Linked DNA regions of Oryzias latipes. The protein of the gene in region 3 interacts with the protein of the main gene of each other region in a pairwise test. Links are inferred from orthologs where the notes say so. Each region holds a gene or a part of one and is shown on either strand. Other genes may lie near its edges. The genes, in order: pole3, gtf2b and drap1.

Region 1 (3,753 bases), on a different chromosome or scaffold from region 3:
CCGGAGATCACTATGCCGCTCCGGCGGCAGAAAGCGGCTGTCTGTCTGCCATCCAGCCGCTCACCCAGGGCCACCCTGCGTAGTCATCACCTTTGCTATAGTCAATGAAAACATCAATGATGCAATGCGGTAATATAGGTTTCATTCATATTATTGCTTTAAACCAGTTATCCTGTTGACAGTAAATGTGTAACTTGAAGCATTTCAGTTTATTTCCGGTTGAAAATGCAGGCGTGTAAAAGGTCATTATTGTTTCCAGGAAACGAATAGTATATTATTTTTACCCCTGTCAGGTCACGGGCTCCGTAATTATTCAACCTCAAGTAAGGTCAAGTAAAAAAAACTGTTGTGGAAGAAAGCCTTGTTAAAGCCAACATTAAAAAGACTGTGACAACAGCAATCTTATATCACCACCATGCCAAAACCCGAAAAGAAAAGAAAAGAGCAAGATAGTCTGCCTACAAAAGGCTGTGTTATAGACGCGCACAATTATGCTAACCAAACGGCTGCAACAGATGACTCAATGGAAGCTAACGACTTCACTTTGACCCCCCTTCCTGATACGCCACTGAAGTCCTCACTACTGAAAAGAGGTAAAGCTTCTGAAATGGAAGATCCTGAAGGCATTATTACCAAACTCTCTTTCCTCTTCAATTCAAGATCTGATTCCCTTGAAAAGATAGTGAGGGAGAGCTGTATGAAAATCAAAGGTCTGAAAAAACCCATTGATTTCGTTTCGGAGGGGCTGAAGGAAATGAAAACTAAAATGAAGGAGGTTGACACCCAGGTTAAAATGGGGGAACAGCGCATGGGGTCCTGTGAAAGTCGCATTGAAGAGCTGGAGCGTTATTCTCGAAGATGGAACTTGAGGCCGGCCGGGGTTCCGGAAAACAACACAGAGGATGTGAAAGCTAAAGTCATCGACATCTGCCAAAAAAAACAAAAAAAAAAAACGGAAAAACCAAAACCAAAAAAAAATAACTGTCGTTTCTTCACTTGTGTTCTCTGCTACTTATTCGGACCCCCCTACAAAATGGCGACCGCACTATATAGTGCACTAGATAGGGGTTAGGGCGGTAATTCGGACACAGGTGTTCCTGTTTGTCCCTGTGTGACATACAGTGTGTTTGCAATATTTGTCAATAAAGTTCATTTAAAAAAACTGGGCTTGAACGGAAATGACATCACAAAAGGCGGGAGGTCGCAATTTCTCTGATGACGTCCTTCCGGGAGGTTCGCGGGAAACGTCTCAAAACAAAAACGCGTTTCCGCCAGTGCTTTTAGGCTGAATCTGACAGCACGTGTCCCTTTAGCGCACGTGCGAATCCATTCAGTCAAAGAGGTGAGCTCAGCGCCGAGCAGAGTTGCGTGTTTTCCGCGCGAGCGGAGGAATGGCCGAGAAACCGGAGGATCTGAACCTTCCTAACGCGGTCATCACGCGCATCATCAAGGAGGCGGTGAGTTGGTTACCCCGGGAAGGAGCTCAGAGGGCAAGACGAGTGTCGGAGCTGCCGGACTCACCTGAACGATCGTTACCGAGCAACGGCGAAGTTTAAATGTGTGCAACCAAAACAAAGATGGCGCTCCCGCTGCCTGGACGTCCGTTCATTAAAAGATTAAAGCAGCAGTTTATTCACTAACTTGTATTTTTTGTAAAAACTAATTTAGCTTTTCATGCTATGTCATTCATTACCTACATGATGCAAAAAAAAAGAAAAAAAAAGAAGTCATTAGTTTCCAGCGTACTGCACAGTGGTGTAGTGGTCAGCACTCTCCCCTTACAGTGAGAACATGCTGGTTCAAATCCCGTCTGTGTGGAGTTTGCCTTGTTTGGATGCATGCTGGGGTCATGTCAGCCATCACTGGACTGTAGGAGTGAGATTACACTGAAGCGGTGGAGAAGCATCAACAGAGACAAATAACGTGATGGCCGTTTGCAGTACATGAAAATGACAGTACCGAAAAAAACACAAGTAGCCTCTTTGCCCGAGTTTAACCTAAAAAAAAACCTGTTCCTCAAATTAGTAGCTCACAGATCCTCCATAGTACTATTTAGTACAATACCCCTCAAATAATTAGTTGGTTTACTGTATAGTCTTTGAGTAAATCTATCACTCCAATGTGAGTAGACGTGACACTAACATCACTTAGCAGATTTGAGTTATGATCATTCCTTCATTTATTAGTAGTACTACTAAAAATAGTATTAATACAGAGTATTTAATCCTTAAAACCTGTTCTTATAATAAATAGCTCACCATTGCTTCATAGTACCACTTAGTACTTCATACAGCACTTCTACTGACAATAGTTTTAGTCTTTTCGTTTGTTTTTCTGTATAGTTTTGGACTGGTCCACTACAAGCGTCTACAATCGTTAATGATTGTGAGATCTCAGTTGTGGATTATTAAAATAATATGCAGTGAAATGAGGTGATAGTAAATGTGAGTTCTAATTAGTACTGCAAAGGAATGGTGATCTACTAATTAGAGGAAAAAGCTATTTGCTTAATCAAAATCTAGACCAAAAATCTTACATTACTTTTATGAGACATCAGTATTATGGTTTGATGTACACCTTTATGTGTCTGTGCAGAAAACAGAATTGTGTGACTGTTTGTTTTCCCAGCATGCTTTTCTCTAAACAGACATGTCATTTCCTGCTGCCACATGGTGGCACTGCAACGCTACACCAAAGGAGTTTGCTCATGCGTTTCTCAACAGTCCTGTGCTTTTCAGCTCTGCAGGTTTTTGGCAGAGATCCACCGGCAGTTCCGTGATCCGGATCTCTGGTTCTCTGAACCGTTTGGTTTCTGCCGCCACGGTTCTGATTCTCTAACGCTCTGCTTTCCCACAGCTTCCAGATGGGGTGAACGTATCCAAAGAGGCGCGCAGAGCCATTTCCCAGGCCGCCAGCGTCTTTGTGCTGTATGCAACCTCCTGGTGAGAAGCCCCCCCCCCCCCCCCCCCCCATCCACAAAACTCTGCGTTCAGCACTTTCTGTCCGTAAATAAAGACCGTTTTCTGCTTTTAGTGCCAATAACTTTGCACTGAAGGCCAAACGGAAGACTTTAAATGCTGCAGATGTGCTGGCAGCGATGGAGGAGATGGAGTTCGAACGCTTCCTGGAGCCTCTCAGAGCGGCTCTAGAAGGTCAGACGCACAAACACACAGCCTCAGAATGCTGCTGTCCAACAGCTAACAGTGTGTTCCTCCACAGTCTACAAGAAAGGTCAGAAGGGAAAGAAGGAAGTGTCTGAGCAGAAACGCAAAGAAAAAGAGAAGAAGGCAGACTGTGAGCATGAAAAGAGCAAGGAAGATGAGGAGGGAGAGGATGAGGAAGAACAACGCATGGAGGAGGAGACCGAGGAGGGGGAAGAGGAGGTGGAGAACTGAGGAGACAGACCTGTCCGACATGAGACCGGACTCTGGCTTCACAAACTGTAAAAACTGCTCTCAGAAGGACGGCTTCATTCCTGCAGTCCCCTCTCCATCAGCCAGCGGTTTGGTGTTCCCATGATACACTCTTTTGTAGTTTCAATAAATGTTTTGTATACAAGTAGAACGTACAGGTTCTTGAACCACAAGTGAATGGAGGAGAGCCCTCCAGCAGCAGATGCCAGGGTCATCATACGGAAGTCCTCCAACCACATCAGGCTGTTTGAACTGACAGGTGAGGAAACACCTGACCTGGAACCAGTTCAGTAGACGACGACCCAAAAGCACACGTACCTGTTCGGGGGCTGACCCGGAT
Region 2 (3,753 bases), on a different chromosome or scaffold from region 3:
CTGATCTGTGCACACACTGCAGACGTACTGCTTTGTACTGTTGTGTGTAAATGATGCAGATTCATCATCAACATTAAAATAAGACAATCAGATAAAGAAAATGAAAACTGTGGTCGTTCCAGATCAAAGTCCTGGAGCTTTGATCTTTCTTTGGAGGAAAAATGGCTGAAAATAGATCCGTGATGAGAATAAAATGGACTTCCTTTACAGGTGACATAATTACCATAATTTCCGGACTATAGAGCGCACCTGATTATAAGCCACACCCATTACATTTTTAAAGGATAAACCATTTTGTACATACATAAGCCGCACCTGTCTAAGCCGCCCGCATGTGCCCACATTGAACCATGTGTTGTAGAATGGATGTGTACGTGCTGAAACCGCTCGCCGGCGTGTGTGAGAAAGAGGGGGGAGCTCGTGCAGCGGGATAGGAAGAGGGAGCATTCTCATTCACTCACGCTCCTTCCCCCTACACACCCAGTGTGCTGACACAAACACATACTCATTCTACAACACCTATGTAGTTAGTTCATTAGGTAGATTTAGTTGTTACTGTTATTTGTTAAAGAATAATGCGTTGTAATTATTACTTATACCGGTATTTATTTGGAAACCGCGACACCGTGACTTCTCCTGCTTCTTCATCACCGCGGTGATCAAAAATCCCACACCGTCACAGCTCTATTCCAAACAGTGCCTGTGACACGGCAGTAACACGGCAGCAATACGGTAGTAACAGCACTAACAGGGCTGGTTAAAAAAAACATCGTGGTAGAAGTCACTGAGAGCAGCAGTAACTTATTGGCGCTCGCCTCTGCGCAGCACGAACTTCCTGTGCACTGAAACCATGGAAGTCTTCCTCCTCAGTGTCGGATTGGAAAAGCGTCAGATATTCTTCACCACACACGCTCTGTGTCTCTCCTTCGTTGTCGCTGTCAGTGTCACTCTCATCCTGAGGTAAATTCTCTCCTGAGTCTGCACTGTCCTCTCTGTCACGCAGCAGACCGGCTTTTCCAAACCCGTTGGTGATGGTGGATTTTTTCACACTGCTGTTAACCATTGCTTTTAACTTGAAAGCTGCCTCATATGCATTTCTTCTTGCATTTTCCATGATGAGGGTCTGTTCGTGCTATTCATTCAGAAAGCGGGAATTTACATTAAACTTGTGTCTTCCTCGACACATATACCTTATCCCCCGTCTCACTCTTTCCTTTTCTGCTCGAGCGCCCCTAGCAGCCGTTAGAAAAAATGCATAAATCAGCCGCATCATTGAATAAACCGCAGGGTTGAAAGCGTGTGACAAAAGTGGCGGTTTATAATCCGGAAATTACGGTAGCAGGGAAAAAAAAGCTTTTAGGTTTGTTCAAAGCGCATGTGAAGGTCTGACTGTGGAGGCCAGGTCACACAGAACTCTTTACAGCTTCAGCATCAAGACAAACCTCTCCAGCTATGGACCCATTTTACCTCCAACAAATGTAGGCCAAGTACAGGTTTATCATTGAAGTACTCACCTACAACAAGCCCACACTCGGGGCAAATCATGTCCCCAGCGCGGTAGTCCTCCACCAGGATGGCATCAGGATGGTTGGGACATGTCACTCTGGGTAAACTGAGAGCATCTCCGCTGCACAAGCAAAACACAAATGATAACAAAAATGTTAAAAAGGAGCACAAAAACAACAAATAAATGACGAACAAAGAAAATCCCTTAAAGTCGATGTTCCGCTACATTCTCCAAGGAAGAAGCCAGACACCTTGATAGGATTAACAAATATTTATTAAGTCTACAAACAGCCTATGTTTCCAGTATTTATCAGTCGCCTGGTTCTGTAGTTGCTTGTGTCATCTACCCACCAAAACAAAACGCGTTGAATTATGGGAAATACCCATTTCACGATCGCTTCAACTTTCCTAGCATAAAGAAATATTAACGAGTTTAAGTCCCGGTAAATGTGCGGACGTGCGCGTTTCCACGGAGTTTCAGGCTGATCCAGAACTCCTTCAGGCCAACGTTCAGATGTCAGAGAAACGACAAAACCGGGAGTTCTAACGGGCAGCCTCTTCCGTGAAGCTGCCCGCGAGCTAGCTGGCTGTCACGGACGGAGTACAAAAGACTGAACATTCCCGAGAAGAAAAATGGAGCCCGACACTTTCTACCGCCAGAGTCCCACGGTCAATCACAAGACGCGGTGGTTTTTTACCACGAGACACTTTGAGTCACATTAACAAAGAAAACCGGGCTTTGAACGGTTAGCAGCCATTGCAACTCACCGACTTGTCGAAGCCATCTTCCTCCGCTCTCTTCTCCCGGACGGATGCAGCACTTGTACTTATAGACTATTCTGATCACGTGACCAACTACGGGAAGTCAAGAAGGCCAAATAAGTTTAAAAATAAATAAATAAATAAAGTCAAAAATATTGTGTCACCTTTGGTGAAAAAAATAAACCTGTCCCTTTCTTTTACATTTCAGACCCAAAGCGAATAAATCATCAGACTACATTGCCTGCAATGTTGTTGCCGTTTACACATTTGACAGGTCTACTAGAAAGTTGAAGTTGGGTGATCTTCTTAGTCTTCATTCGTGTGTTCATGATGAATACACACGTTGTGTGTTGTTGTGTTTCAGCTTTTCAGGTTTATGTTGACCCCACAGAGACCTTCAGACACCTGATCGACCATGAGGGGCAGGCTTTGGCCCCTCGCGGGCCAAAGGGTTGATGTGTAAATGAGCTTAGTTAAGGTCGGGGTAAACTAGTCATGGTTAAATTTGGGTTGGGGAACTGTTCAAACCTGAGTGTGTGCTTCAGTGTCTTTTTTTCTCTTTACATTGTTTTTTTTCTTAAGCTTCTTTCATTTATTTTTAAGCTAGCATTACTAAAACATTTAACCAATAAAAACAAGTTAAAGACCCACTTTAATGGAAATCACGTTTTTGGTGTTTTTAATATGTTCTAATGGCATTTTTCTCATGATATGATATGATGACATATATAGAAAATTAATCTTAAAACTGCATTTCTGCCCCAAAAAATGTTTTTTTTAATGCATTACTGTTCACAACACATAGAACAAGTATGTATGACAAGAACAATAGTCATAAAAACGGGACTGCCAGGGGATGGCATATATTACAATAGAAATATTGTAAAACACATCACAATACATTGAATATGTTCAAAGACAGAGAATTTTCATAAATACGTATTCCCTTTTTTGTTTGTGCTATTAGAAATAGTACATAAATACGATTCTAATTCTTTAATAAATACAGGGGGGAAAAGTTGTGAAATTTTGATTTGTTGATGTCTAACTTACTTTATATTATGATTGGATTAATTTTCAATTTTATGTTTGATTTTATGTTCTTTTTATGTAGGCCAAATATGATTCATTCAAATTTCATCTGAAATTGTGAGTCAAATTTGTGATTTATAAAACAAGTACATTCTTTCCAAAACTTTTTTGTAATATTACAGTTCCAAAATAGGTGGCTGATTGTTTCTGGGTGTTCTTAACAAAGAGTACAGTTAGGATTTGAAAAAGCTTGTAGCAGTGACGTAGAACTTGCAACGGCAAACCAGAAGCTACCTGCTCCATTCTGATCATCACCTGCAGACAAATAGATCCATGAACATCTTTGTTTTCCTGGTGTCAGATAAATGCATCTAGACATTAAAGAAAAACACAATTAGAAAAAACAGACCACAACAATAATCAAGTTTGTCATCCACGAGGGAGAAAAGCAAA
Region 3 (3,753 bases):
CTGCCCTTGAGATGAAGCTGATTAGTGCGACACACATGCGTGTGCTCTGTCTGCAAACACGGGCAGCGGTTCAAAAGGTTTGCACACATGCAAAAATCCCACAAGGCCCTGTGACGTTCCAACACGTTTGCAAAGGATACATATGATGACAGGAACCGCTGCAGCCACTTTTCCTATCTCCTCATCTGTTTGCATAATCTTCTTGATCCTTGCCTGAAAAGACAACAGTCTGGTGTTACGTGAGGACATGAGAGGACGACATGTTTAACAAAAGAAAAAAACGCCCAATCTGAGGCAGTTTATCCAAAGAGGTGACAGTCTAACCATGAAAAGTAGAGAAAGCAAAAGGAATATTGAAACAAATTAGCCCTCTGCAGACCCACAGTTGAGTTTGTCAGCCACAATGACACAGTTATAAATCCGACACCCTCATCTGCATCGTTTCTATTCAAAATCAAACCTGAAGGTTTCAAAAGGTTATTAGCTTTAACATTTTTAGTTTAAAATAACATAACAAGAGTTATGACACATACTGTAATTGTGATACCCCTTAGTGCTTTGAGTGGAGCTTTGCCTGTTTTCTCATTGTTTTGACCTTTGCTTTGTTTTTGGATTTATGCCTTTTAATTTTATCTACACATATTTGATCTTTGTTCTAAAACATATAAAAACTGTTATATCTCAATTTTTGTGGGTTTTACAGTAAAAAGTTACTTAGTTTTATGAACAGCTTGATGCTCATTGTAGAATTATTGTGTAAAAATCATCAAAAGTATGTAAAAAAAGGAGAAGAAGCTGGGGGTTCTGTACCCCCCCCCCCCCCCCCAATTGTCATGCAGTCCCACACCATGACTCGACCAACGCCGTGCTTGACTGTAGGCAAGACACCCTTGTCTTTGTCCTCCTCACCTGGTTGACGCCATCTGAACCAGGTTTATCTTGGTCTCATCAGACCACAGAACATGTAATCCATTCCTTAGTCTGCTTGACTTCTGGGCCTTTTTGTGCATCGCGTTTAGAAAAGTCTTTCTTGTGGGACAACAGCCATGCAGACCAGTTTGTGGCGTATAGTCTGAGCACTGACAGGCTCACCCCTGCAGCAAAGCTCGACGCTCTCATACATATGTGTGTCAAAGGTCAGCTTTGGATGTGATGCTGTGAATGTGCGACGAACTTCTTTGACCGACGACAGCGAGACCTGTTCTGAGTCAAAGCTGTCTTTTTTAAACCGCTGGATGGTCTTGGGGGCACCGTTTCCGTTGGTAACCTTCTAGGCCATCTTTACGTTAACCGACAATTCTTTTTTTTCTTTTCAGTGAGTGGTTTGCCATGAGGAGCCATGTTTAACTTCCAGTGATCAGTTTGAGAGAGTGTAAGAGCTTTAATGCTATATTTAACACACCTGCTATCTATTGACACCTGAGACATTGTAACAGTAAAGAGTCACATGATATCGGAGAAGGAAAATGCCAAATTCATTTTTGTTGCCAGGGGTTTGGCTATATTAATAGTCATTTTTTAAGAAAAAAATTTTCACTACTATAAAAGATGAACACGGACTACATTTTATTGTGTCGAAAAGTCTTGTGTCCAATGAAAACAGTGAGGGGTGTACTCACTTTAGTGAGATCCTCTGTACATTGCGTTGTCTTTCAATATTCCAGTTTTATGTTTAATCCACTCTTGCTGAGACTCTTTACATTAAAATCAAAATCTCTAAAATCAAAGCCCGTGTTCTGGTTATTGTAATTTTACACCCAGATTCGTTTATTATCATCTGAATCCCAATATTTATTGTCTAATATTAACATCCATCGGTATAATGGTGTGACTTTATCAGCTAAATCCCACAAACACCAAACCAGAACTTCATTTAGATGGTGCAGAAACGTGACATTTAAAGGGCGCCGTGCCGTGACAGCGCTGTGATCCATCACTGTCCGTTTATACAGCTATAATACCAGATTAGGATTAGCATAACAGGCTAAAAACAACAGGGCGCACAGCCTAAACTGCTCGGGGAACGACTCGTGAATTAGTTAGTTACCTGCTTTATTTACACGGACAATATCTCGGTGATGGAGAACGAATTGCATTAGAAAAGTCTTGCTTTAGCTTGTTAATTCTCTTGGCAACAAAAGAGGCCAAATCCCACTCAGTCTGCTAATGCTAGCGACTCCCAACACCCGATAGTTTACGGTTATACTCACCGGAGGGAATCTGGCGTTGTACTTCTTCTTTTTGCTCGGCATAATTAAATAACCTGGTGACTGAGCTAAAATAAAATGTTAAATGTTTGGGGTTATACTGCTATTTCATGTGAATTCACCTCCACCGCACGTACACCAGATAGCGTTAGCTATCCGGCTAAGTTGTTAGCGCGCTGTCGTCATCTCGTTCCTCGTTGCTTGAGGAGCTGAAGGGATCCGTTTGCTTTTGCCAGGTCCTAGCGCCGGTCATGTTGGCACTTGCTGCGCTACTCTCAGATTTCATTAGTGTGTAGAGAAAAAATACGGTGGCCGAGAAGTGCCAGATACAACAACAACAAATCCCAGTAAAAATGAACAAATACTGAAACACAACAGCAAATCACTGGAAAAAAAAATAGTGTCCTGAAAAGCCACAAAAAACTAATACTACTACATAATACTTTAATGGAACATTTTTTAAGAAACAAAAAATAAAGTCCAGTCATGTTTTCATTAAGAAGAAAGGTTGTGATACACTTAAAACTGTTCAATGTCAAACCAGCCTCTCCAGGTGTATCTTTTTATTACAGCGGTGAATCGAGGCCGTATACAGGCATGGGCAAGGGGGGTAATGTCCTCCCCTAAATGCTATGAATCCCCCTTCAGAGGTGATAGCCCTTAAAAATCCAAAATTAACTAAGAATTTAAAAACAAAAAAACAACGAAAAATATTCATACAAACATCAAAAACAAAAAAACAAAACAAAATTAGAAAATAATGTAATGGACAAGTGGACAGACATAAAAAGAAAGAAAAAAGATAAATGCAGCCTCAAACCAGTTTCCTGCTTTTCCCTGTAATTCTGGTGCCTCCCCATAGATGGTTCTCTACAAATAAATGGGCTGTTGCTCAGATGCAGAAGCTCATTTTGCATTGCATGTGGTTTTGGAATATATGTTGTTTTTCTGGGAAGCATTTTTCTATCATTCCAATTCCACTTGAACGCAGCGTTACTCTAATTTACTTTTTCCCTAAAGGAACATCAATCCATTGGTGCAAATGGCTCTAAAATGGGAAGAAAAGCCACAGTTTTGAAATAAAGACACCAAAATGTTCTACATGTATGTCAATTTTCTATCAAAAGCTACAGATGTTTTTGTCAAGATTCCACGTTATTTCTTCATCTCATGAGTTGTGATACCAAAACACTCTGTACAACAGCTCCCGGTCCGGCCTTTCTGCCAAATCTTAGACCCCTTTGTGGCCCAAGGGTTTAATATTACACAGTTGTGGGTAAAAAAGCAACAAAGAGAAATTCAAGATTTGGTCTGGTGGACATATAAAGAGATTATCATCCAGATTCATAAGGCAGAACAGCCTGGAACCATGCCACTGAGGGGTGAACGGTCACATCTAGAACACGTCATGTCTCTGATTTTATTACTGGTTTAGAAACAAATAAAACGCCTGCATTATTCATTTATTTTTTCATCTTTTTAAACATGTAAATGATTCCTTAACAGTTTTTTTCCCATAAACTTAGTAGTCAGTCACGAAGGATTT

What was found.
Region 1: the proteins of drap1 (region 3) and pole3 interact in binary tests that used the Homo sapiens proteins (3 or more experiments, as listed by UniProt). The two-hybrid records come from large-scale screens. The link is inferred for Oryzias latipes from reciprocal best matches to the Homo sapiens genes DRAP1 and POLE3.
Region 2: the proteins of drap1 (region 3) and gtf2b interact in binary tests that used the Homo sapiens proteins (3 or more experiments, as listed by UniProt). The two-hybrid records come from large-scale screens. The link is inferred for Oryzias latipes from reciprocal best matches to the Homo sapiens genes DRAP1 and GTF2B.

What each region holds. Positions count from the first base shown.
Region 1 is NC_019861.2:5,686,239-5,689,991, reverse strand, and holds pole3 (DNA polymerase epsilon subunit 3), read left to right. Parts: upstream 1-1,192; 5' UTR 1,193-1,391; coding exon 1,392-1,457; intron 1,458-2,856; coding exon 2,857-2,942; intron 2,943-3,033; coding exon 3,034-3,152; intron 3,153-3,219; coding exon 3,220-3,395; 3' UTR 3,396-3,561; downstream 3,562-3,753. UniProt on the Homo sapiens protein: Accessory component of the DNA polymerase epsilon complex. Participates in DNA repair and in chromosomal DNA replication.
Region 2 is NC_019875.2:5,826,392-5,830,144, forward strand, and holds the start of gtf2b (transcription initiation factor IIB), read right to left. Parts: upstream 2,371-3,753; 5' UTR 2,292-2,370; coding exon 2,275-2,291; intron 1,628-2,274; coding exon 1,515-1,627; intron 1-1,514. UniProt on the Homo sapiens protein: General transcription factor that plays a role in transcription initiation by RNA polymerase II (Pol II). Involved in the pre-initiation complex (PIC) formation and Pol II recruitment at promoter DNA.
Region 3 is NC_019876.2:27,236,719-27,240,471, reverse strand, and holds the start of drap1 (dr1-associated corepressor), read right to left. Parts: upstream 2,463-3,753; 5' UTR 2,253-2,462; coding exon 2,211-2,252; intron 214-2,210; coding exon 141-213; intron 1-140. UniProt on the Homo sapiens protein: The association of the DR1/DRAP1 heterodimer with TBP results in a functional repression of both activated and basal transcription of class II genes.